Linked DNA regions of Caenorhabditis elegans. The protein of the gene in region 2 interacts with the protein of the main gene of each other region in a pairwise test. Each region holds a gene or a part of one and is shown on either strand. Other genes may lie near its edges.

Region 1 (4,679 bases), on a different chromosome or scaffold from region 2:
CCGCCCATTTTATTGCTCCTCTCACGCTTCATTCTCACTTTTTCTGGGGATCCTTTTTTTTGCAGACCTAAAAATTTGAGCTCAGCCATATTTTTTTTGTAAATATAATCAAAAAAAAATAGACATTAGTCAAAAAAGTTGTTTTAAGCCTAAAAAAATTTTTCAGATAAAAAACGTTTTTCTTTAACTTTTTTGAACAGTTTTTCAGTGAAATATTTTTAAATTTTTATTTTAAAAAAATGTTTGTTTATCTAAGCCTAAGCCTGAGCCTAAGCCTAATAACCCTAAATAGCGTCAGTGTGGGAGCTCACGCTCCCCCACTGACGCCAAGCCTAAGCCTACGCCTAAGCCAAAGCCTAGGCCTAAGCCTGGGCCGAAGCTGAGACCTAAGCTTAAGCCTAAGCCTAAGACTAAGACTGAGTTCAAGCCTAAGCCTAAGACTAAGCCTGAGTCTCAGCCTAAGCCTAAGCCTAAGCCTAAGCCATTTTTAAAAAGCTTAAAAATTTTTGCAATTACTATTTTTTCTGAAAATCTGTAAAAATATCGAATTTTTAGAGTTGCTATAAAATTTAAAATAATATTCAAAAAATAATCCGAAAAAATTAAATTTTTTTTCTCAAAACGTAGATCATACAGAATCAGCTTTAAAAAATTCAAACCATTTTTCGTTTCAAAAATGTTCAGAAAATTTGTAAAACTTGAGTTTTGAAGAAAGTTTTCATAAACTAGCTCTTGAATAGGGTTTTTAAGTAGGCGTTAAAACGCTTGCCTGCCTGACCTTCAGGCGACTTTCGCCTGCCTGCTTGACTTTCAGACGTTCTCTGCCTGCCTGCCTGACTTTAAGGCGACCTCCGCCTGCCTCTCGCCTCAATCCGAGCCTTATCTCTTAAAATGTTTTTCATCAAATTGATAAAAATACGGAAATTACAAAATTTTGTAAGTTCATGCCAAAATGCAGGCATCAGGCCCTGAGGCCACGCCTGCCTAGGCCTCCGACTTTCGTTCTACAATTGTCGTTGCCGTTTCCTTTATCCCATTTTCATACCCCAAAGTTATGATTTTTCTTACACCCCTTGCGCTGCTGCTGCTTCCGCTCCCGTGATCTTATGAATCAGTAGTCAGAACTGCAGGTGTGAATCTCCACAATGATCACCCAATAAACGCGAAACACCATTAGAAACAAAGTGTCCCCCGTTTTTTTTTTCTGAGAGTGTCGGCACCCCCCTAACATATGCGGGGAACATTGTCTCAAGTTTTGTGTGCTCCTCCAGCTCCTCCATATGGTTACCGTAGTCCCCTGTCAGTGTTGTGTAATTGTTGTTGTAACTATCCCCCGAATACCTCTCCTCACATTCATTCACAACACAGGTGTCAACTCAACTCTCAGTGCTCATTTGAAGTTTATGAAGTTTAGCTTCCGGGGATGGCTCTCCTGGGCTCCCCGCTCCCTCGAAAATTTAATTAATTGCAAGCACATGTGGTGGTGGTGGGGCGAGCTCCGCGCTTCCCCCCCCGCCCCGATTCTCTCTCTCTCATTTGCGACTCATTAGATTTTAAATCACTCTCAAACTTTCCACTTTTCCAACTTTCGCGTTTTTTAAATTTTTTTTTCACTTTTTCCTCACAAATTCATCCAAAAAAATTTCCAGAGTTGCCCCGCCCATATATTGGCTAAATGGTAGAATGGACGTGGCACTTTTGACAATGGATGACAACAACAAACCGCCGACAAGTTCAGAGTCTACGGAGAGTAGGGGTGAGTTTGGCCGGGGGACCGATAATTTTTAGGCCAAGACTTCTTTTTTTTTAAATCATTTTCAAAGGTACGTTACCTTCACGTGGTGCCAGGTTGTCCCATTGCTTTTTGATCTACAGAAAATGCGGGATTTTTTCCCCAAAAAATGTGACATAAGCAAGTTTTTAAATCTTTTCTCCCGCATTTTTTTGTAGATCTACGTAGATCATACTCTGACACCACGTGTACCTTGAACCTCCTGGCTTTCTGAAACTAGAGTTCGTCGCTAGAGCGCATTTGCATTGTCGTGGTATTTAATTTACAGTACCGCCAGAATCATGTCGCGCCGCTTGTAGTCTAGTGGTTAACACGCTTCAGCTCTAAACAATAGGTCCGGGGTTCGATTCCTTGCAAGATGAAATTTCTTTCTCAAGATGGAGGTACATATGTGCTTTAAATGTGCACTAGAGATAGCGAAACTGATACCATGGTCCGACATGTACAGGGTTCCGCGCGCGCCTAGGGCCTCCAAAACGCCTGCTGCTCCAGTTTTGCGGCGACCTCCGCCTAACTCGCGGCGCGCCTTCTGTATAGTCACGGCCTTCTGTCTTCCCTCATAAATTGAAATGGAAGAGTTTTTGCCGAACTAGGCCATCTTGGCTCGGTCACATCTGGGCTCGATTTTAGTTGTAAAACTAAATGTATTTGTCCGTGTGGAGTGCACGACTTGCCCACGCGTTGACCGGCGGGCGATTGCCAATGGAGCGCGAAAAATTCAATAAGGAAGGCCAGAACCCCGTGTATAGTGCCGCGCGTGGAGCCCGAAAAGTGTCAGCCGCGGCGGAAGAACCACATTCCATAGGACTAAAAAACTAAAGTTCTCTCTTTCAGAAACATCACCACCAATGATGCCAGATTCTGCGGAGATAATGCGACTTCTTACGGATCCTTCGACGGCTCAGATGTTTGGTAGGTCATAGATCAAATTTTTTCCGCAATTTCCCGAAAAATTTCAGCCAACGAAAACACAAAATGTCAGCTGGGACGGATTCTCGCCGCGTCAGGCTTCGACGAGGCGAGCCTCTCCTCCTCGTTTCCGTTCGATCCGACGCTCGGCGCGTTCGCCGACATTTCCCAATTCTCATCACTCCGAAATTCGTCGAAAACGCTGAAATGTCCAAAGTGTAATTGGCACTACAAGTACCAGGAGACCCTTGAAATTCATATGAAGGAGAAGCACAACGATGTGGATGTCAAGTGCATGTTTTGTGCCGAGAACCGTCCCCACCCGAAGCTGGCTCGCGGTGAGACGTACTCGTGCGGTTATAAGCCATATCGATGCGATTTGTGTCGGTACAGTACGACGACAAAGGGCAATTTGAGTATTCATATGCAAAGTGATAAGCATCTTCATGCAGTGCAAGAGCTCCCGAATAGTATAGGTAGGTGGGGGGGGGAGGCGAAGGGTACTGTAGTTTTCGTGGTGGGACCCAAGAATTTGAATTTCACAAGAATTTAACTGTTGAACTCGAACTTTTCGATTCTAGGGTCTCGCCACGCAAAAACACTTACGCCAACTTTTTTGAACCCTAAAAAATGATACTCAAATTAGAGTTCTCAGTGAGCTAAATTCGATTTTACAGTATTTTTTTAATTTGACGTTCTGTGGGTCTTACACTCAAAGGGTACTGTAGTTTTCGTGGTGGGACCCACTTGTCCAAAAATGGACGTGATTATATTTGGATTAAAGCCCCTAACTTTTCTGATTTTTTTAATAAATTGGTTTTATTTTGAAAAGACTGAGAAAATTGAGTTTAGATCGAAATCAATAAAAATCGCGTCGAGACCCAAATTTCCCGGGTCTCGGCACGAAAATGGGGGAGAGGGTACTGTAGTTTTCTGGCTTCTCTCATAAATTGAAATGGAAGAGTTTTTGCCGAACTAGGCCGGCCATATCTGGGGTAGATTTACGGCGCGTTGCGTGTCGCGGCTCAATTTTTGTTTTAAAACATGAGGAAGACCAGAATCCCGTGTTTTCGTGGTGGGACCCAAATGGGTCATGATTATACTTATTTGAAAGGCCTTAAGCTGAATTCAGATTTAAGATTTTTATTATTTTAATTCAAAAATATCCTGAATTTTCCAGAATTCGCAGCCAACTTCGCGTGTGGTGCTCCAGTTAGCCGAAGTAGTCCAATCGAAGAGTCCGACGGATCCCTGGTCTGCTTGATCTGCGGTATCTTCGCCACCGAATCTATCGCCGAAATGATGGAACACGTGGAACAAGACCGTTCCAGGACGTTCCAAGGAGACGTTACCGTCCTAAACGGGAGCTTCCGGTGCCACTTGTGCCCGTATAATACCACATTGAAAGCCAATTTTCAACTACACACAAGGACGGATAAGCATCTGCAAAAGGTTCAAATTGTGAGTTTTGTATTCCCCTCTCATCATCTTCTTATTTTTATTGTGTCGCCCTTTTCCCATTTTTGTGTGTCTGTGTGTGTATGCGCACCGATTTGCATATACACATAAATTCATGATTTAATAGCGTAATGAGTAATATTTGCTTTGCCAAGGCTAACAGTTTTCGTATTTTAAAGCCTTTTTTCTACAATTTTTGAAAAAAAAATTCAAAAATTTGAACATTTCAATATATCCCTAGAAAGCTCAAAATTGTAGTGAAAATTTTGAATTCAGTACGCTGAGACCTTTAAAATAAGTATAATCATTACTAGGTTTTGGTTCTGACGCGAAAGTGTTCGTGGCGGAGCCCAAGCAAGGCGTAATTGATTATAGGGTCTTTGCACGCAAAAAATTTAAGGTCCGGTAGGCGTGGCGGGGAGTTTTTCTTGAATTATTTTAGTTTTTCATAAATTTTCAATTTTTTGGAATTTATTTTTCTCTCCCTTCCCCCGCGTAGTCTGAGCCTAAACCTAAGCCT
Region 2 (7,894 bases):
ATGTTAAGCCTCAGTAATAAATCCATGTATTTCTTTCCTCTTCCATCTGTTTTTTTTTCGTATTCCTCACTTTCGCTTTTCCCATTTTTAGATATCCTATAAATTATCAAAAAAAGTTCAACTAATAAAATATTGTCCATAATTACGTCTACTTGTATTTAACTGTTTAAGTTGCTTACCAGTGTCATGACAAGAAATACAGCGGCCGACATCTCGTGAGCCCGTTTTTGACAACTTTTACTGATTCGGCCGTATCTCGAAAACTAATTTTTTTCTGGAAATGTTTTTGAAGAAAAATAATCTTCATACTACTTGCCATCATTTGTGCCTACTCACTTTGTTTTGAAAAATTCAGCAAAAAAGTTATGGAAGTGCAAACTAGTCCCTCACTTGGCACTGCTCATGCTGTACAACCAAAAATCAGGTTACTTACTTCGAATATATTTTTTTCGAGCATTTTTTAATAATTACAAATGTAAAATCACAATTAAACTTTATTTAAACACGATATCAAAATTCAGGGAAAAAAAATTCTTCACTTGCGAGAAATGCTCTAGTTGTAGTCGTACACTATTCAAGTTTAATCTATCATAACTTTTTTGCTGAATTTTTCAGAACAACGTGAGAAGACACACATGATGGCAAGTAATATGAAGATTATTTTACTTTGCCAACACTTACAGAAAAAAAAGTTTTCGAGATACCGGCAAATCAGTAAAAGTTGTCAAAAACGGGCTCACGAGATGTCGGCCGCTGTATTTCTTGTCATGACACTGGTAAACAACTTAAACAACTGAATACAAGTAGACGTAATTATGGACAAAATTTCTTGAGTTGAATTTTTTTCGATAGCATGTCCAGTTTTTAAGTTGTGCTCGTTTGAAAAACTTGTAAATTTATCAAAAATCGAAAATTGGATAGAATTATGGCCGGCACTGTATGTAAGACCTTCAAAACGTGCTCCTCTAATCCGTTGCTGTTCGGTACTCTTGTTACGTGTTAAGTTGGGACAAGTTTCCTAGCTACTCATAGTTTGTCTGCACTCTCCTAGTGACGAGAAAAAGATGAAAAGATAATCTCTCAAGGAAAAGCAGATTAATCAACAAAGCGCAGCAGAACTTTCAAATTCATTTTAGTTAATAAGTATACGATTTCCGGTGACCGAATATATGTAGTTGGTTTGTGTTGTATTTTGAATTCTGGTATATAAAATATAAGTAATAATATATAAGTAACCGTTTGAAATTGGAAAATTTTTTCGACGCAAACTTTGCCAGTGATATGTTCAATGAAACATGCTAGTTTGAAAAAATTAAGCATACAAGCACATTCCTATAAATAATTTGGTGGCCACCTTCTGTTATGTTTTATCAAAAATTAGACCTCCCGGCTATTTTGTTACAATCGAGCAGACACCCCCCCCCCCCCCCCCCCACGACACCTGTTCTCTTTGAGCACTCCATAACGTGGGAAGGCACATCTTGCGTCATATGTGACCCGACAGTCTCCTACAAAAATATGGGAAACGGGGCAGATTGAGTGATGATGTAACTTGTTCTGCGCAGTCTTCTCTGCCTGTTCTCGACCTTTTTGCGAGGATTGGCTCCAACATACGTTTTGCACCACTTCTCGATGTTTTTTAGTTTGTTTTTCAAAATTAACATATAGTTTTTCATCAATTTTAGACAAAACTAATTCATTCAATTAATTTTAACATGAAATGAAATATTCAGAACTTAACTTTAGTTGTTTTAGAATAATAGGGTATGCATTGTTAAAATTACAAAAAGTGAGATTTATATCCAAGTCTTTAAATTTTATTGTATTGCAGTTTTGGGATTATTTTAGATTTTTATTAGGAAATGCATGCAATTTTTGCAATTATTGATAGATGTACAGTTTTTAGTGTGTGTGTGTTTTTTGTTAATTTCGAGGATTAATAGAAGAAAAATCCTCTTTAAAATTTGAGTTCACACTTTTTTCCACTAGCAATATTAATTTTGAATATTTTGATCACGAGCAATAATTTTTTCAGGATTTTTTCAAAAGATGGATAGCGGTGGCCAAGGTTCAGGTTCACAAGACCAATTCGAAAAAACAGAACAACTCGTTGATGCACAATATCCAGTTCCGACAACATTGAAGCCAGATTTTTTCACAGGTGAACATTTTAATTTTGTGTTAATAACACGATCATACAATAAAAAAGGTTTGTAAACTGACAGGAGACGGAATTTTCATATCGAGAAATTAAAAAAATCCTTTTTTTCAATGTAAAAAATCTATATTTGAAATTGATTTTCATATGACTAGTTTTTTTTTCAAGCGAAGCATTATATTATTCTTTATATACATTTAAAGGTGGAGTACTGCCAGTGGAGAAATTGTTAAAAACCACTCGTTTGGTCACAAAATGACCAAATATCATGATAAAACTTTTCAAAAATTTTTGAAAATTTATTATTTACTGTCAAAAAGTGGCAATTACTCAGTTTTTGCCACTCATAATTTTCGAAGTCGACCAAAAAAACAATTTTTTCGACATTTTTTATGTTCTAATTTTGTTTAAATTATTTTTATTAAAATATTGTAGGGGTCGCAACATGCGGCATTTCTTTAAATTTCCTCAAAAGCTAGTAGATTCTCCAATTGTCAGCACAAATGATTCTGAACCAATTAATGAACAAGTTTATTCAACACAAAGTAATCATGGCGAGCTTCAAGATAAAACCGAGATTGATGAAAGAAATCGAGTGGATCAGTGCTTCGATAATGATCAACCATTTAACGGAAACAATTCAAAACTGTTAGAATCCGAGTCTCATAAACTGGGAGAGTCGTCAACTGAACCTTCAGGAACAACAATATCATCAGGAAATTATGAAATTGCTGAAGACTGCTCGGATGAGACAGAGCAATTCATCGATCCAGACAATCAAGTTCCAGCAGCAAATTTTATTACCAGTAAGCTTAAGATTTCTTTGAAAAATGTGCTCATTCAAACATTTTCTTCATGCAACTTTTTTAGTAACTTTTTCGGATGGGAACTGAAAATTATAAAACTGTGTTGCGTGTTTGCAGAGATTTTAAATATTGGGCTAATTTTTTTCTAAACAAAATGTTTTTTGAATTAATCGTTTTCATTTTCAGACGACTGCACAACAATTGAACAAACTGCAAAAATTCAAGAAGAAAGCGGAACAGATTCTTTGATTGTCAGCACAAATGATTCTGGTTCAACTAATGAACAGATTTTGCCAACACAGAGCAATGATGCTGACTTTCGTGAAAGAATTGAAATTGACGGAAGAGATCAAGTGGATCAGCATGGCAACAGTTATCCACCAATTAGTGGGAACAACTCAAAATTGAGAAAATCAGAGTCTCATGAACAGGGAGAATTTTTAGTTGGACCTTCAAGGAAAAGAAAGCCAGAAACACTAATTGAAACAAAGAGTAAGAAAAGAAAATCGGCGAGAGGAAGACCATCTAATAAGTTGAATCAATTTCAAATACATCAAGTTAGTAGTGACTGGAACGCGAACGCATTTCTTCAGTTTGCTCGACGAGACGCAGCTGGTACGATTCTAGAGTCGGAAGAAGCGAAAAAAACCATCGATGCACAGTTGGAACACTTTTCGGTATGTTGTTTCAATTAATATTAAAAAAAAAAAGAAATAGCACTTTAATAGTGTTGTAAACCTACTGACCCTACTGATAATGAACATGAAATTTCAATATAAACGAAATGTGGCTCAATTTTAAAATATAACGTTTAAATGTCAAACGCTATGTCAAACTTAAGTTATAATCAAAAAATTATTTTTTTTCCAGAAATTTCCTAATTCTTTTGGAATCGCATTAAAGATAGGAACAATTTAATAACTTTTTAATAATTTTCTAAATGTTAGAAAAATAAATAAATGAATTAAACTATTATACACACTACCAAGTATGCTCGTTGATATCATAAATTTTTACATATGCATTGTAAACATAAAACAAAGACCAATTTGAAAAGTTCAAATTTTAACACAGAACTTAATAGGGAGTTTTTTAAAACTATGTATAAAATGCGATCGGTGCGATCGGAAAAAAGTTGAACGTACTATTTTATAGCAGACATTTTGAGCTCGCATAATTGATAATTGTTTTCAGCGAAAAACTCAAACTTTCAGGTCAAAATTTTTTGTCTAAGACAGGACGTTGTAGGACGTTGTCAAAGCAAATTACAAATTATGTATATGCTTTTAACAAAACTTTAAAATATTTGCAGGAGCCCTCGTGCTCGACGGATGTTTCGGTTCATGTTGTCAGAGACAACGAGAATCTGGGCTTGGTGACAAACAAACTCCGATCGCTAGCCATTCCACCAATATCCAACCTTCCCAGTGATCTGCCTTCATTATATAAACTCCCGAAACTGTTTCTAACCGGAGCGACTTTTATGGACGTCTCAAAATCAAAAGGAAAACAAGTTATTACGAAAGCAAGCAAATGGATCAAATCTGGCAAAAATCTCGTATACGAAACATCTGGCTGTTCTGAACTATTTGATGAAACAACAAAATTCAACACTGATGGAAAGATTGAAGAAAACACAAGTGAAGAATACACAAATAAAGATCAATACAGGTTACCTGTTCCTATCTATAATATTGAGAACAACAGCGATGAAACATCAAATTTTATTAAAAATATCGTCAATACCACAACCATGTGCATCTTTCGAGGAATCGAAGAAGCATTTGGGATGGATCGCCAAACGTTTGACATCTCCACATTGGCACCTCTCTACCCCGATTACCCATTGAAAATTCGTCGACAGATGCCCCAGTCATCAGCAACCAATTTCTACATGAATGACAAAAATACCGTGCAGAGATTGGGAAATGCCTGGGCTGTCTTCGATTTTGAAGGAGTTACTCAGTTGAGAGATTTTGCGAAGAATTATGAAAGCCTTAAGGATATAGGAAGGTCAGGTACGTTTTTGAACTGTTTTTTTTTAATTCTTATTTAGCGAAAGATATTTGAGTTTTATAAGAAAATAAGTATCTTATAAAACCCAATTTCAAAATTTTTAAAGATTGGTCTAAAATTCCAGTCAGCTTTGAAAACCAAATTAGCGAAAACTTTTCAAAAGATTTCCAGGAGTTTTGAGCAAAATAAAGCAACGTCGCAACCATTTGAACCTCAATGGCATCCCAATGAAAATATTTGAAAAATATTTAGATTTTGAAATTCGTATAAAAAAAAGCACTTACTTCATTGTCGACCTTTAAATTATGGGTAATCAGAACTGAGTTCTCGCCAATTTTTGACTCTTAATCAACCCACTTGGGAACTTTTTTGATAAGTTTTAATAAAAACTAGAGAACTTCCAAAGTTTATAAAAATCATTAAATTTGTTCACCTTTCATTTTTCAGCTTACCAAGCTATCCTACGCAATCCTTCCGCATTTTCGGAAGTAATGGATGACATGAAGAAGCAAATCAAGGAAAATACGATCCCACTCAGTCCTGAACACAAACTTACAGTCCATGAAAATGCGACAGTGTTGGCATTTGGAACTAATATTGATCTGGATGATCAGCGATTCAAGGAACAGCTCGATGTATGTCGTTTAAAGTTAACGGTAGATAAATAATCATTATTTTCAGGAGATCAAAAAATTGCCTGATTGTTTGAGACCCGACGGAGCCGGGAATCTTCTCAACTTTGCTCAAGAGTCACTTGCAGGTCTGAACAAACCTCAAGTTTATTGCAAGCCTCCCGGAGCAAGAACCACAGCTCACCTGGAGAACCAAGCTCTCGGGTCCATTAACATTAATCATGGACCAGGTGATTGTGTTTGGTACGGAGTGCCCATGGAGTACAGTGGCAGAATGGAGGTGCTGATCAAAAAGCATCGACTTAATGTTTATAAAAGCGGGTACTGGCCAAGTGAGCAGGAATTAAGAAATGAAAAGATACCATCGCAAAAGTTTCTACAAAAGCCTGGAGACATGGTGTACGTCGGTATTGGAACATTTCATTGGGTGCAATCTAATGATTTTGCAATAAACGTCTCCTGGAATGTTGCACAACCAACTTTTAATCAACTGGCTGCTGCAATGGTCATTCACGATCACAACATCTCGAGTAAAGCAACTACTCTCATGCCTATTGAGCCAATTGTCTGGAAAATGGCTGAAGATGGAGTGGAGGCAGAGGATGAGAATATTTTCCTGGCTCGAAAGGCTATAATGCTAAAGTACGGTTTCGTCACAGAATCATAATACTAGATAACTAATTAATTCAAAATTACAGAAGTTTGGCAAAAAGCCAGTTTGAGTTCGATTTCGCCATTCAGGAAAATATGCTCATCAGATCAGCAAAAAACGAGAAATCGATCATCCCTGTTGAGCGATGCTCTATCCAAAAATGCCGGGAAGTTCTGTTCAATATGATCACACTTGACAATAAGCAAAATCCATTCTGCCTTAATTGCATAGTTAAAGGGTGAGTTGCATTTTGTGAAGAGTGATAACTGATAAATGCGGAAGAAGGGATGTATTGTTTACTCATCATAGAAAATTTTTTTGTATTTTTTTTTTCGAATTATCATTTTTTTATTGCATTTATCGGTCGTTTATCCAACGTTTTTTCGTTGAATAACGTATATTCAAACCCGATGGAAGGCCATTTTTTGGTGATTTTTGGTTAACTATCTTGAGATTATCTACCAAAACATGCAATTAAAAAACAAAAGCTCAAAAAAGTCAAATTTGTGACCGTTGCGTCACGGAAAAATCTCCCAAATTAGAGAATTTTTCGTACGAAATTTGTTTATTTGAGTGCATTTTAAGTATATATGTTCAAACATGTAGACCACTTTTATTTTGGTTAAAAAAGTAAAAAACACACGAATAGCAAGATAAAAATAGTTTAATTGGTGTCAAAGTGTCGCATTTTGGTTTCTTCGGGAAATGCGAGAGAAGAGACGGAGATTTTTCAGCTGATTTCGCATGGCTATACGTGTGCTGACGTTACATTTTTCTGGAAGAGAAATTCCCGCATTTTTGTAGATAAAACCGCAATGAAACAGCCTGACACCACGTAATAATCTAATATTTAATTTTCCAGAAAAGTCAAAGCAACAGCATTTCAAAGGCGGGACATTGCTGACTTGGTGAAGATATTTGACGAGTTTAAATGGGTGTCCTGAAACTTTTCTTTTTTTCAACTTTCGATCCTCAATTTTCACAGCTTTCTTTTGTATTATACAATTCTTGCACATTTTGAATCACTTATCGTTTTATTGATCTTGTTTTGATTTTTTATTATGCAACATTTTTCGATATGATCAATTCTGTTTAATAAAGTCCAACTTACTAATTATAAAAAAAATTTATTCTTACATACAAAAAAGAAATCGAAAATGTTTAGTTGCATGGGTTGACAGATGGACGTGCTGTGGCCATTGGCATATTATCTGAAAATAGGAGTTTTTGATTTTGTATGCAATTATTTTGAAATTACTGAAATCCTCTGGGTCTTGTGGGTAGCGAAAATCTTCAGCGTTATCAATATTTGGAATTGGTGCGGACAGAGAGATCCCAACGAGCAAAACCATGAAGAGAGTCAAGAAAGACAGTAGGAAACGAAACATTTTCTGAAAGATGAGATTGGGTTAGGAAAAAAAGAAACACGAGGAGTTCGGTGAAGAAAAATCAGACAATGACGAAAAGATGTTTTCAATGTTATCACACAAAATGTTGAGGTTGAAGCAACTGCGGCGGCAGTTGTCAATTTTCCCGGTGACATGTAAATAAAAGAGTTGGTGAATCATACAATTTGATTTCTAGAGAAACGATTGAAAATATATTCTGTTTAGAAACCTGACTTAAAATC
Region 3 (6,057 bases), on a different chromosome or scaffold from region 2:
GCTTCCGCCGAGAGCCGAGAGCCCCACAGCACTGCCCCGTATACCCTCCGGTAGGCTAGATTTGTAACAGTTACGCAGTATTACTAGCCATTGCGTAAGTTCAAAAGAGGGACCGATGAGCACATGGTACTTGAAAGAGGATGAAAGGTCGGGAGGATGAATATTGTTGCATGAAGAGAAGTGATTTCGGATGCATGTGAAGCCTTGGTGGTAATATTAATGATATCCCTCTAATATTGAATTTTTAAGATGTGCTCTCAAACGTGAGGGTTTAATTGTTGAAAGTAAGGCCATAAAATTAAAACCCTGAATTTTAGAATACTGACTGCTGGTAATTAAATCTTCATTTCTCATTGATTTCAGGTGATTTCAGACAGCATCAAAACATTCATTCAATGTTTCAACAAATCCGTAACCCAACAAACCTTATTACCTAATGACTACCTACCATTCAAATACTTGCGTAATGATTGTCTCTTCCTCCATGTCTACCACCAACCCCTCATTCTCCTCTTCAGAAGAAGAGCCGACGTTCCAATGCACACGAGACACCTATCTCTCATAGAAAACGAATATTCAAATGCCATTGCATACGGTTGCTCTGCGTCTCGTTCTCTTCCCGTGCTCTCTAGTGTTGCGCACTGTTGCACCCTCTGATGGCCGGTGGTGACCTCTTGGAGGGCGGGCGGAAAATGCTGCCACCCTCATCCCGCATACCGCCTGTCATTTCTCGAGACAGCCGACGCGCAATCACTCTTATGCTCCGATGGGTATATGGGGCAACAGGGTGGTCCCAGTAGACCCAATTTCTTACAACTTCGTTTTTTTTTAGTTTTTGATTCTACTAATAAAAAATCATATGTAACTTTGAACTACAAAAATCGCGCAAAACTCTTAAGATGTTTCCAGTTACAATACTCTGATAAAACTTAAATTATTCACAAAAAAATATAGATTTCAAATATGACTACTGTAGAGGTCATTTCATTTCCTCCCCATCTAACGTATGCATCTTGAATTTTCTTCAGTGATCATTTTTGATTAAGAAATGTATTCTAGAGCTAAAAACTTGAATTATATTATATACTCTTTTGTAATAACAATTAGCCTACTTCAACTTTTCATTTTAAGATATGACAAGCAAAATTCCAATTATTTTGATTAAACACAACTTTTCAAACTTGTTAAGTAACTTGAGGATCCACATTGACTTTATCAGTACTCACCGCTTATCTAACAACCTCTACCAATTCAGGTTCCACCCTAATCCTAGATTGTCTCTTTCCTCCATTTCCTTTTACTCTTTTTTATGATTGTGCAAACATTTGACCTCTTTCTTTTCTACCTTCCAATATATTCTTCTGTTCAATTTAATTTACCATGGGCATATCTTTGTTTTTTTTTTGAAACGGAATTGGATGGTGTAACCTGAAACATGGCTGGTCTATAGTTGAATTTTCAAGCTTATAGTTTATGAAACTCTAAAAATGTTTTAATCAAAAGTTCAATATTGACGTACCCTATTACATCAATTAAAGGATTTTTTTGGGAATTTTCCATCTAGCCTTTGTCTTCTAGGGTTAAAACTATTCACTTAGCTTATCCATCGGAAGTTTAAACTGAAAATCAAACATTTACCTCTTCAACTCTCTTATAGTTAATAAATCTGTGTCTTTTTTAGCCCCAAATTATCACAGCAGACGCAATGGACTTTCATAGAGCACTATCGGCGCTTTTCACAAATCAAGCAGCCGTTCAACCACTGCTCGGCTCACTTGGTTTCCCATTCAACGACGGAACTTCTATTCTGACGACTGCACTTGCTGCACAGTCCGGCGGAAAGAAGTTGGACACTCCGTTGGGGATTTTACCATTTGACTCACTGCCCACGACAAATCTTTTAACACCAACCAAGAAGATCAAACTAGAAGATGAATTGTGTGCCAGTCCAGTGTCAAGCAGGTCGAGTACGGTTAGCAGTTCACACGTGAGTTGGGAAAAATTATTAGCACTTATAAAACTATTGGAATTATTTTCAGTTTTCAAGTCCCCAACGGTCACCATCACGAAAGATGTCGGTTCCGATTCCAGAAGAAAAAAAGGTTTGTTTCAATTTTTTAAGTTTCAAGTGTATACAATTCCAAAAAATCTGAAAACCAATAGAGACTTACCATGAGGTTAAAAATATTCATAAATCGTATTTGCGTGGTCTTAAGTTCAAATCACTACAGTTACGTAACACGACTCCTGTTAGTTACGCAACGACGACCGCGAGGTGTCTGTTGGAGATGGTTTATGGGTGTCAGAATTTTTGATAGTGTGAAAGTCAACTAGTATTAACGCCCCCACCCAAACTATTATAATTATAAGTTGCCTTATTTACCGTATTCCTGGAGTTTCCTCTTAGTGCGGAGCATTGTCAACGCCATTTTGTCTCTAAGCTATGCTAATGAATAATTACTCCTAACAATCCCAATTCAAAAATCCGCTGGTTGTTCCTGGGATAATGCGGTACAGACTGCCTCCAATTAAGAGCTCTTCGAGATTCGGCTCATTGTTTAGCACCACCCAACTGTTGCCATAAGAAAAAGAAGGGGTAATTACATACAGTCTACCTGACAGAGAAACCTTCATGTGTGTGGAGGAATTTGAATATGAATATACGAGAGGGGCATGACCGGACAGGAAGGGGTGTTGCGCAACTATACCCCCGTAGAGGACTTGGGCTACCATTTATATTATTCAAATGAGGCGGGAATTCAAAAAATTAAGATCAGCATCACTTCTTGTTCAGCTAGCATCAAATACTAAGTAAGCTATATTTACTGCGTCGTACAAGTACCCACATTCTCATTTTGTAAAAAAATTGTAATTTTTCGTAGCGCCAGTGCGAAATGGCCAAATATCATAGTGGCACGTTGCCGGCCAATATTCTATTTGCTTTCGGTTTTATGGCCATTTGCCTGAGTTTTTCAAACACATATTACTTAAATACTATAATAGTTAACAAATAATTTTCAACTAACAAAATGTTACCGGTTACTTTTTCTACATGTGTAATTTAAAAAAATAATTTCCACAGAATTTTCAACTTTTTGCAATTTGTTGTTTTGTCACAAAGTGCCCAGGGAAATTTATACAGATGACTAAACATGCATTACAAAAGTCAGAACTGACCAAATTTTCTGTAAATGCGAGCAAAATTTTTGTTTAGGTTCTGAGTTTAAAAACATTTCAAACATGTTGCAAACATTCGTGATGTAAGTTTTCGTTACAAAAACTATTATATAAAGCTATTTAATAGGATTTTTAAAACATGCTCAAAATCTAGAAATTTGAGAATCATGTTCAATCCTCTGTATTATTTTTCCTGGTCGATTGATGACAGAACTGCAAATGGCAGAGTGTAGAAAAATTGGTGCAAATTATTTTCTTATTAAACTTTGTTTCATGAGCACAAAGTTGTGGGTCACTTAGCAATTCTAGTCAAAATATAGTCCCGGCTGATTTCAGCTGATGTAGCTTTTTTCGTAATAAAGTTATGTAAACCAACATCAAGAGTGTAGACAAAATGAACGGCAACATTTTGTTAATTAAAAATATTTTGCTAGATGTTATCGTATTCGAGTTATACTTGTTTGAACAACTCAAGCAAATCACCTTAAAAGCGAAAACGAATAGAATATTGGTCGGCACTGTATATGTTGTCGTTTTATGAAACTTTAATGTCCTTCTGTAACAAAAGACTCAAACTTTTTTGGCCTAACGCATATTACATCTAAGTTTTCTTTTACGGGCGGTGCCCCTCCGAGCATAAAACATACGGAAAAATATATAGAGGGGTCGTACATTTTACACAACAAAACCCACTCATTCTGGTGAACGGCATACGGTGGTTAGAAGAGAGGCTTACACAAAACACAACTGTCACACCGATTTTTTGAATAAACTTACGTGAATATGAGATACTTTTCCTTTGATATTTAATATGGGATTTGCGATAATGTGTAGCTCTTGTTTTATAAAACGGAATAACTTTGGCATATTCCTTAATAAAGTATATGAAAACTCAAAAAGTCGCATAAGAAATAACTAGTAGTGTATGTGTGCTTCATATCTTTTCGGGGATATGAAATATTAAAAACGTACAACTAATGAAATGTATAAAATTATTTAATTATTGTATTTTTGCTTAAAAAAGTTCTTCTAAATAATTTATCTTGAAGCTACATGGAAAAATGGGGAAAAATGGTATCATCAAAATTTCGGCCTAGCGTACTTCAACTGACCCTAACTCAAAAACAACAAAAGATACAGAACAGTCATCAACTAACACATTGTAGTGCTTGAAATGCTTGTTAATTTTGTAGTTGATCATTTTTTCATATCTTTTACGTTTCAGGAGTTAGCGTCGTTCAAAGTTTAAAAAGTCATGTTTGCAAGCATTTTCGGCACTTTCAACTGATATTGTTGTATCGATACGCTATGTATGAGGATGTTATTACACTAATGTGCTAAACTAATAGTCTATTACCTGAGGGTGTATAAGTTTTCGATTTCCCAAAGAAATGACAAAAATCGGAAAAATTAAATGTTTTGATCGGCAGAGAACGGAGTTGGAAATAATCTTAACGGTGCCCATCATGGCTGATATTGATAGGCTTGTCATTCTAACTGTCTTCTATATATCCACAAAAAATATCCTAGAAAAAATCAAAACTGAAAAAAAAACGACAAAACTTATTTATCACCCTAATAGAATTATGATTCTTTGCTAGGCTAACTGTGCTTAGAGATTTATTAATTCCTAGTTGATAGGCTTTTCGCAAATTGTGTATTACTTTTGTAGACTAATAAATTCCTAGTTTCTGAAAACTTAACAAATCACAATTAATCTCAGCAATTACAGGACTCTGCATACTTCGAGCGTCGGCGCAAAAACAACGATGCAGCGAAACGTTCGAGAGACGCACGTCGTCAAAAAGAAGAACAAATCGCATCAAAAGCTCATGCTTTAGAACGGGAAAACATGCAACTACGTGGAAAGGTCTCAAGCTTAGAGCAAGAGGCCGCGCAGCTCAGATTTCTCCTCTTCTCCAAAATCTCACCAGCAAATTCTGAAGTGTCCTGCGAGTCAAACGATTCAACGGAAACTAATGATTCTAATGATTCTAAAAGCGATTCAACCATTGAAGTATGAAATTGTTTGTATTTCATATACCGGACGCTTAAAAAAAGATTAGTGTTGTTTACGCACTTTTGTTGTAAATTTACAGTCGTTACTTCAAAGCTTCTATTTATTTGAATGTTTCTCTAGGTTCTTGAAATTGCTTTATTTTTCTTTCCTTAGCTTTAAATCGGTTCTCTATACCACCCATTCATCTTGATCTATCTCTTAAGCTTTCATTCTCCCTACCTCAATCCCCTATCAGGTTATTCATCTGCGGGTGCGTGTATATTTCCTGATAGTTTTTCAACTTATCATTGATGATTTTTCTACAAATTCTTATTTTGACAATAAATATTGTGTATGCATTTTATGTACTTTTTTGACATTTTTTTTCTAAATGGTTCAGAAATATATGTATTTGATATATTATAGTACACAATATAATAAGATCTGTAACCAACTTTGTAATATTTTGCACTTTATAATAGTTCTAAAAGAATTAAACCTGAATTTTTTAACTCGGAATATATGAATGAGTTTTAAACAATTCCAAATATTTACATTCTTGACTTTTTGTAGCCATTAATTTATTATAAACTGTAGAAGTGACACTTGTCACTATCTAAAATTCGGTGTGCTAGGCAACACTCCTAAGTTATTATTTGTTGCTCCTCGAATTTCAAAAAACTTCTCAAAATTTATGGCGGTTCAAAATTTCGAAAAAGTACACTGATTATAGCTAGCATCTCAAACTTTGCTTACTTTTCTGTGTCGCATCTGTCCGATGTTGAATTTTTTGGAATTATCGTCTTTTATTGCATTTTTTGGTATTTTATTTTTATTTTTTTATTGTTTTATTTCGTTAATTAAACCGATAGGTAATCAAA
Region 4 (4,898 bases), on a different chromosome or scaffold from region 2:
AAAATTGGTTGTAAAAACTCTGAAATTAGCGCGAAAATTAACCAATTATGTTTTTTTCCAAAACTTTTGGACTATTTTTCAAGGAATCTTATAAATTTCCAAAACTCACAGTCATATAGCTCATAGTTGCACATCCACTAGTCTCTGTACCCCATGAGGTCTCATCAATTGGACATGGTTTCCGTTCCACAGAGAGAACATTCACGTGGAGCCACATTTCAGAGATGACCGGGCTCACGGAGCACACCAATAATAGTAGAATTCCATAGAAGATGGGCGACGACATTTTAGTGTAGAGTGTGTGTCTGAAAGAAGGATTTTTTGTTGAAAATCAGGAAAAAAAACGGAAAAAAATTAAAAATTATTTTAAAAAAGTTGCAAATAAATCAAAAACTGCCATTTTTTCAATTTTTCGGAGAGAAAATCGAGAAAATGCAACTTTTTCTGCAGAAAAATATTCAAAAATTCAAAATTTTTCCAATTTTTCGGTGTTTTAGAGAAAATTTCAATTTTTACTTCGGAAAAAAATTTTTTCTGCAACTCGAGGAAATCGTTTTTTTAATACGACCAGAAAGGAATTTTAGGAAAATTGGAAAATTCTGAAGCTTTCAGAAAATTGAAAATTGCCAATTTTTTGAAGAGAAAAGCTAAAAAATTAAGATTTTCCCCAAAAAAATATAGGTTTTTTCGAATTTTTAAAAAAATTTCAATTCAGAACCAAACATTTTCGGTGATTTTTCAATAATTATTTTTCGAAATTTGGAAAAATCCAAAAAAAAGTGTGAATTTCAGTGAGAAAAAAAAAGCTAATTTCTGCAGAAAACAGTGAAAATTTGAGAATTCTAGGAAATATCGAAATAAAAAAAAGAATGTCGATTTTATCGGATAAAATAATACATCGACATACTTTGAGAGACTGGAATAAGAATAACACAATGACTGACTAATTGGATGCATGGTCAGGTAGAAGGAGGAAGGGGGTGTCACCTAATTATAGGCGGAGCTGGAATTACAGAGCGTCTCGAGAGATGGTTATCTTGTCGAAGGACGGGATTAGCACCTTTTACAACGTGTAGATGTCTATTGAAAGAACAAAGGATTTGATTTGTGATGGGCTGAAGATTAAGATGTTTATTGCCTTGTTTTGGAGCTTTATCTGGGCAAAAGATAAGATTTTTTTATACAAAATTCGAATTTTTGACGAAAAACGTAATAAATAATTGGATTATAGAGGATTATAGACCCAAAATGTGCTCGAAATCTGAAATTTTGTCCATTTGTCTGAGTTGCAGTAGTTGATGGAAGGTATACCTATTATAATTTGGTAGATGCACAAAAGTTGGCAGGTGTGTGGTGCACACATATCGACCGTAAATGTACCAAAAAAACACAAAAAGTATGCAAAAACAGCTACTTCACTGACAAGTAAACAAAATTTAAGATTTTAGGTTATTTTTTGCGATTTTGATTCTATTTTCAATTGAGGAGCAGTAAATAGCGGTTCTGGGTACTAAAAATGTGCTTATTTTTGTTTATTTTCCGCTTGAATTCATTTTTTCAACCCAGAGGTACCACACAACATCATCTCACTACATTTTTTGTGATATATCAAATATAATATGATTTTAAAAAAATTGAAAATACTTTTAATGGAAAATCTGACAGAAACCAAGATAAAAAACTACAAAAAACTGGGAAGAACTGGGAAAAAATTTTTTAAAAAAGTTTTCTAAAATTAAAACTACAGTACACTTTGTTCAAGGCGCATGTGCCGTTTATAACATCGTGGCGAGACCCTCGCCGAAACTCTGTCCATGCTGCTTATGATTACTGTAGTTTATTTATTGTTTAATTTTCTTAAATCTTTTATTTGTTCAATTTCCTCGTTTTCCTTCGCTTTTGTTCCAATTTTCTGTTGAAAAAAGTATATTCATAACAAAAATTATTTCTTTCTTTCCAAACAAGCCAAAAACAAGGCCATAAACCGGAAATAGCCGACAAAAGAAGTGGAGATGAGTTTTAGGGTTCGAATAGGACTGCCGATGGTTTACAATGCCGATTGTGACTGTGGAGATGGCTGTAAAGGTGCGAATAGTGATTCTTTTCAAGTTAGCCGCTGGAAATTTCTCTGAAAATCTGAAATTTTACCTGAAATCTGAAATTAAATTCAAAGAAATGCGTGAAATTATAAATTTTTATGAATTTTCTTCAATTTCCCCTAAGAAATCAAGATTTTATCCGTAATTTCCGAAATTATAGGAAAAAACCTAATTTTTTTCGGCTTGACGCAACTGCGCTCCATTGCGAATTACGAAGAAATAGTATGTGAATCGAGGAGGGCACAGACAGCTAGACATCATGCTTCTCATGAAAATTCATTCGAATTTCTGCGATTTCTATGACGATTTTTCATTTTTTCTTTGATATTTTAATTTAAAATGCATTTAAAAAATCATTTCTCATTGATTTTCTTAGTTTTCAGAAAATATCAATGCAGAAAAAAGAGAAAGAAGGCCGAAGAAAGCTGAAATACGACTCAAACGACGGTCTTCTGCCGGTAAAATTGGCAAATTTTCACTTTTTCGCCTCAAATTCCAAATTTTTGTAGGAAATTCGCCGAGTTTGCGGTTTTCCACACCACATTTCCGAAGAATTGTCGGCGAGAGGGTCTGGAAAGAAGAAAAAGCAAGTGGAGGAAGAATGGAAATGGCCTGAAGCTCAAATATGCGGAATTTGCTCTGTAAATACATTGATTATTTGGAAAAATATTGGAAAAAACTAATTTTTCCCTGAAAAAGGCAGAAAAATTGCAAAAAATCATCAAATCTTTGAAAATTTCGATTCAGAACTGGAGTTTAAAGTAAAAAAACCAGATAATGCTGAAATTATTTGATTTTTTAAAAAAGTTTTTAGTCCAAAAGAGCTGCAAAATTCGAATTTTTGATGATTTTAGCATTTTCAGAATAAAAATTCCCTTTTAAAAATTTATTATAGGCCTAGGTTCAGGCTTGGGCTTAGGCTTGGGCTTGAGCTAAAGCTTAGGCCTAGGCTTATGCCTTTAGGCTTAAGCTTAGGCTAAGGCTTATGCGTAGGCTTGGGCTTAGGCTTGAGCTAAAGCATAGGCCTAGGCTTAGGCTTAGGCCTAGGTTCAGGCTTGGGCTTAGGCGTAGGCTTAGGCTCATTATATTATTTTTGCAAAATTGGAAAAAAAAATCCCAAATTTTAGAAAAATCTCTCCACTGAATTCATAAATTTTCAATAAAAAAATGCCCAGATTTCCAAATAATTTTCCATGTTTTTTTGCAGTCCGGCGGTAACATTCTATGCTGTGAACAGTGTCCAGCATCCTTTCATCTTGCTTGTATTGGATACGAATCATCCGATCTTCCAGACGACAATTTTTACTGTAATCGATGTAGAAATCTTCCGGAAAACGTTCGGCTCTTTCCACCGGAAAAGTGCTCGCCGTCTGTAAATCCAGTGCTCCGAGTTGAAAATGAAAATCACCGAAATTGGGAAGCTATTGAATATCATTGTAATCGACTTAGAGATGAGGAACAGGCCGAGAAAATGAAAAAAGATGTTGCTTATGGGCCAAAAAGTGAATTTGCAGAAATTCAAGACTGTTTTCGGGATAAAAATCTACTGAAAGCACTTGGAATGGCTAATCCCATGGATGTAAGGGAGTTTTTTCAAAAAAATGAATTAATGCTTCAATTGAAAAATTAATGAAAATCGAAAATTCTGGATTTTTTAAAATTTAATTTTTTTTTTTAATTTTCGATAAAAATAGTTTTAAAAAATGCGAAATTTTATTAGCAGAAAATATTTAAAACACTTTTTCTCCCGAAAAACGTTGAAATTTTCGGCGTTCGATCCGATTTTCGGGAAAAAAGTGAAAAAAAAATTAGAAAAATCGGGATTTTTAACACTGTAGGATAGGATAGAAACAGAAAAAAACACAATTTATTTGCAGAAAAATGTACAAATATTTTTGAGTATTTTCGACCTTTTTTCCTGAAAATTATCGTTCTTGAGACCATTTTTCCGATAAAAATATTAAAAATAACGCTTTTTTAATTCTTGTTTCGAGTTTTTGTGAAAATTCTTTATTTCTGTGTCCTTCAAAAATTTCCAATTTTACAATAATTTTCTCGAGAAACCTAGATATTATTCCAAACATTTATAAATAATTTTTCCAACATTTTTCAGTATACAATACCACCGGAATTCCAAGCAGATCGTGATTGTTTCTCTGGTGATGCAATGGAAGACAAGAGGCCAACTATAATGGGAGAAGTGTGTGCTGAGTGCAATTTGTACGTTTTCGTAGCAAAAATGGACCTAAAGTGCCAAAAAAAAGAGGAGTTTCCTACCAGAAAGTATTGAAATTGAGCGATTTTCTCTCGAAAAATATCCGAAATTTTTCTTCAAAAAAAATCATTTTCGATTCTTAAAATGATCTCAAAATCTGAACTTTTAGATTTTTTTCTGAAAAACACGATAGAAAAATCAAAAAGAAAAATCAAAAATCAAAAAATTTCGTTTTTCGATTTTCCGATTTTCCAAAAATTAGCTTCACATTTTGGACATTATTCTTATTTTTAGAAGAAATTTGGATTTTTTTCTTACAAATATAAGCAAAATTAAATAAAAAATCGAATTTTATGGTTAATTTTCTGAACATTTTTTTCAATTTTTCGATGTTTCGATTTTCACTGAAAAACATCGAAAAATCGAAAAATGGCACCCTTGATCCCTTCTTGAAACTCCAATTATTATTTTTTTTGCAGAAAAGACGACTGGACACGAATGCTAAAATGTGACTTTTGTGATCTAATTTGGCATCAAAAATGTGTTTTTTTTCTGGAAAAAAAGTTTTAGCTAATTCAAAAAGT

What was found.
Region 1: the proteins of jmjd-3.2 (region 2) and zfh-2 interact in a two-hybrid assay, tested with the Caenorhabditis elegans proteins (one large-scale study listed by BioGRID).
Region 3: the proteins of jmjd-3.2 (region 2) and ces-2 interact in a two-hybrid assay, tested with the Caenorhabditis elegans proteins (one large-scale study listed by BioGRID).
Region 4: the proteins of jmjd-3.2 (region 2) and athp-1 interact in a two-hybrid assay, tested with the Caenorhabditis elegans proteins (one large-scale study listed by BioGRID).

What each region holds. Positions count from the first base shown.
Region 1 is NC_003279.8:801,719-806,397, forward strand, and holds the start of zfh-2 (Zinc Finger and Homeobox), read left to right. Parts: upstream 1-1,649; 5' UTR 1,650-1,683; coding exon 1,684-1,756; intron 1,757-2,081; exon of another isoform or gene 2,082-2,154; intron 2,155-2,626; coding exon 2,627-2,704; intron 2,705-2,751; coding exon 2,752-3,177; intron 3,178-3,881; coding exon 3,882-4,162; intron 4,163-4,679.
Region 2 is NC_003284.9:14,446,181-14,454,074, forward strand, and holds jmjd-3.2 (JmjC domain-containing protein), read left to right. Parts: upstream 1-2,029; 5' UTR 2,030-2,049; coding exon 2,050-2,161; intron 2,162-2,724; coding exon 2,725-2,964; intron 2,965-3,150; coding exon 3,151-3,641; intron 3,642-4,276; coding exon 4,277-4,982; intron 4,983-5,427; coding exon 5,428-5,615; intron 5,616-5,661; coding exon 5,662-6,254; intron 6,255-6,310; coding exon 6,311-6,502; intron 6,503-7,126; coding exon 7,127-7,208; 3' UTR 7,209-7,387; downstream 7,388-7,894. Other genes in the region: F23D12.7 (Neuropeptide-Like Protein), read right to left, coding at 7,426-7,475, 7,523-7,652.
Region 3 is NC_003279.8:14,959,822-14,965,878, forward strand, and holds ces-2 (Transcription factor ces-2), read left to right. Parts: upstream 1-1,675; 5' UTR 1,676-1,705; coding exon 1,706-1,987; intron 1,988-2,039; coding exon 2,040-2,102; intron 2,103-4,909; coding exon 4,910-5,200; 3' UTR 5,201-5,540; downstream 5,541-6,057. UniProt on the Caenorhabditis elegans protein: Transcription factor. Required to activate programmed cell death in the sister cells of the serotoninergic neurosecretory motor (NSM) neurons. Negatively regulates the activity of ces-1 which in turn negatively regulates the activities of cell-killing genes.
Region 4 is NC_003281.10:10,879,879-10,884,776, forward strand, and holds the start of athp-1 (PHD-type domain-containing protein), read left to right. Parts: upstream 1-1,887; 5' UTR 1,888-2,085; intron 2,086-2,482; 5' UTR 2,483-2,491; coding exon 2,492-2,557; intron 2,558-2,608; coding exon 2,609-2,740; intron 2,741-3,306; coding exon 3,307-3,678; intron 3,679-4,212; coding exon 4,213-4,319; intron 4,320-4,898. Other genes in the region: C44B9.3 (C2 domain-containing protein), read right to left, coding at 110-217.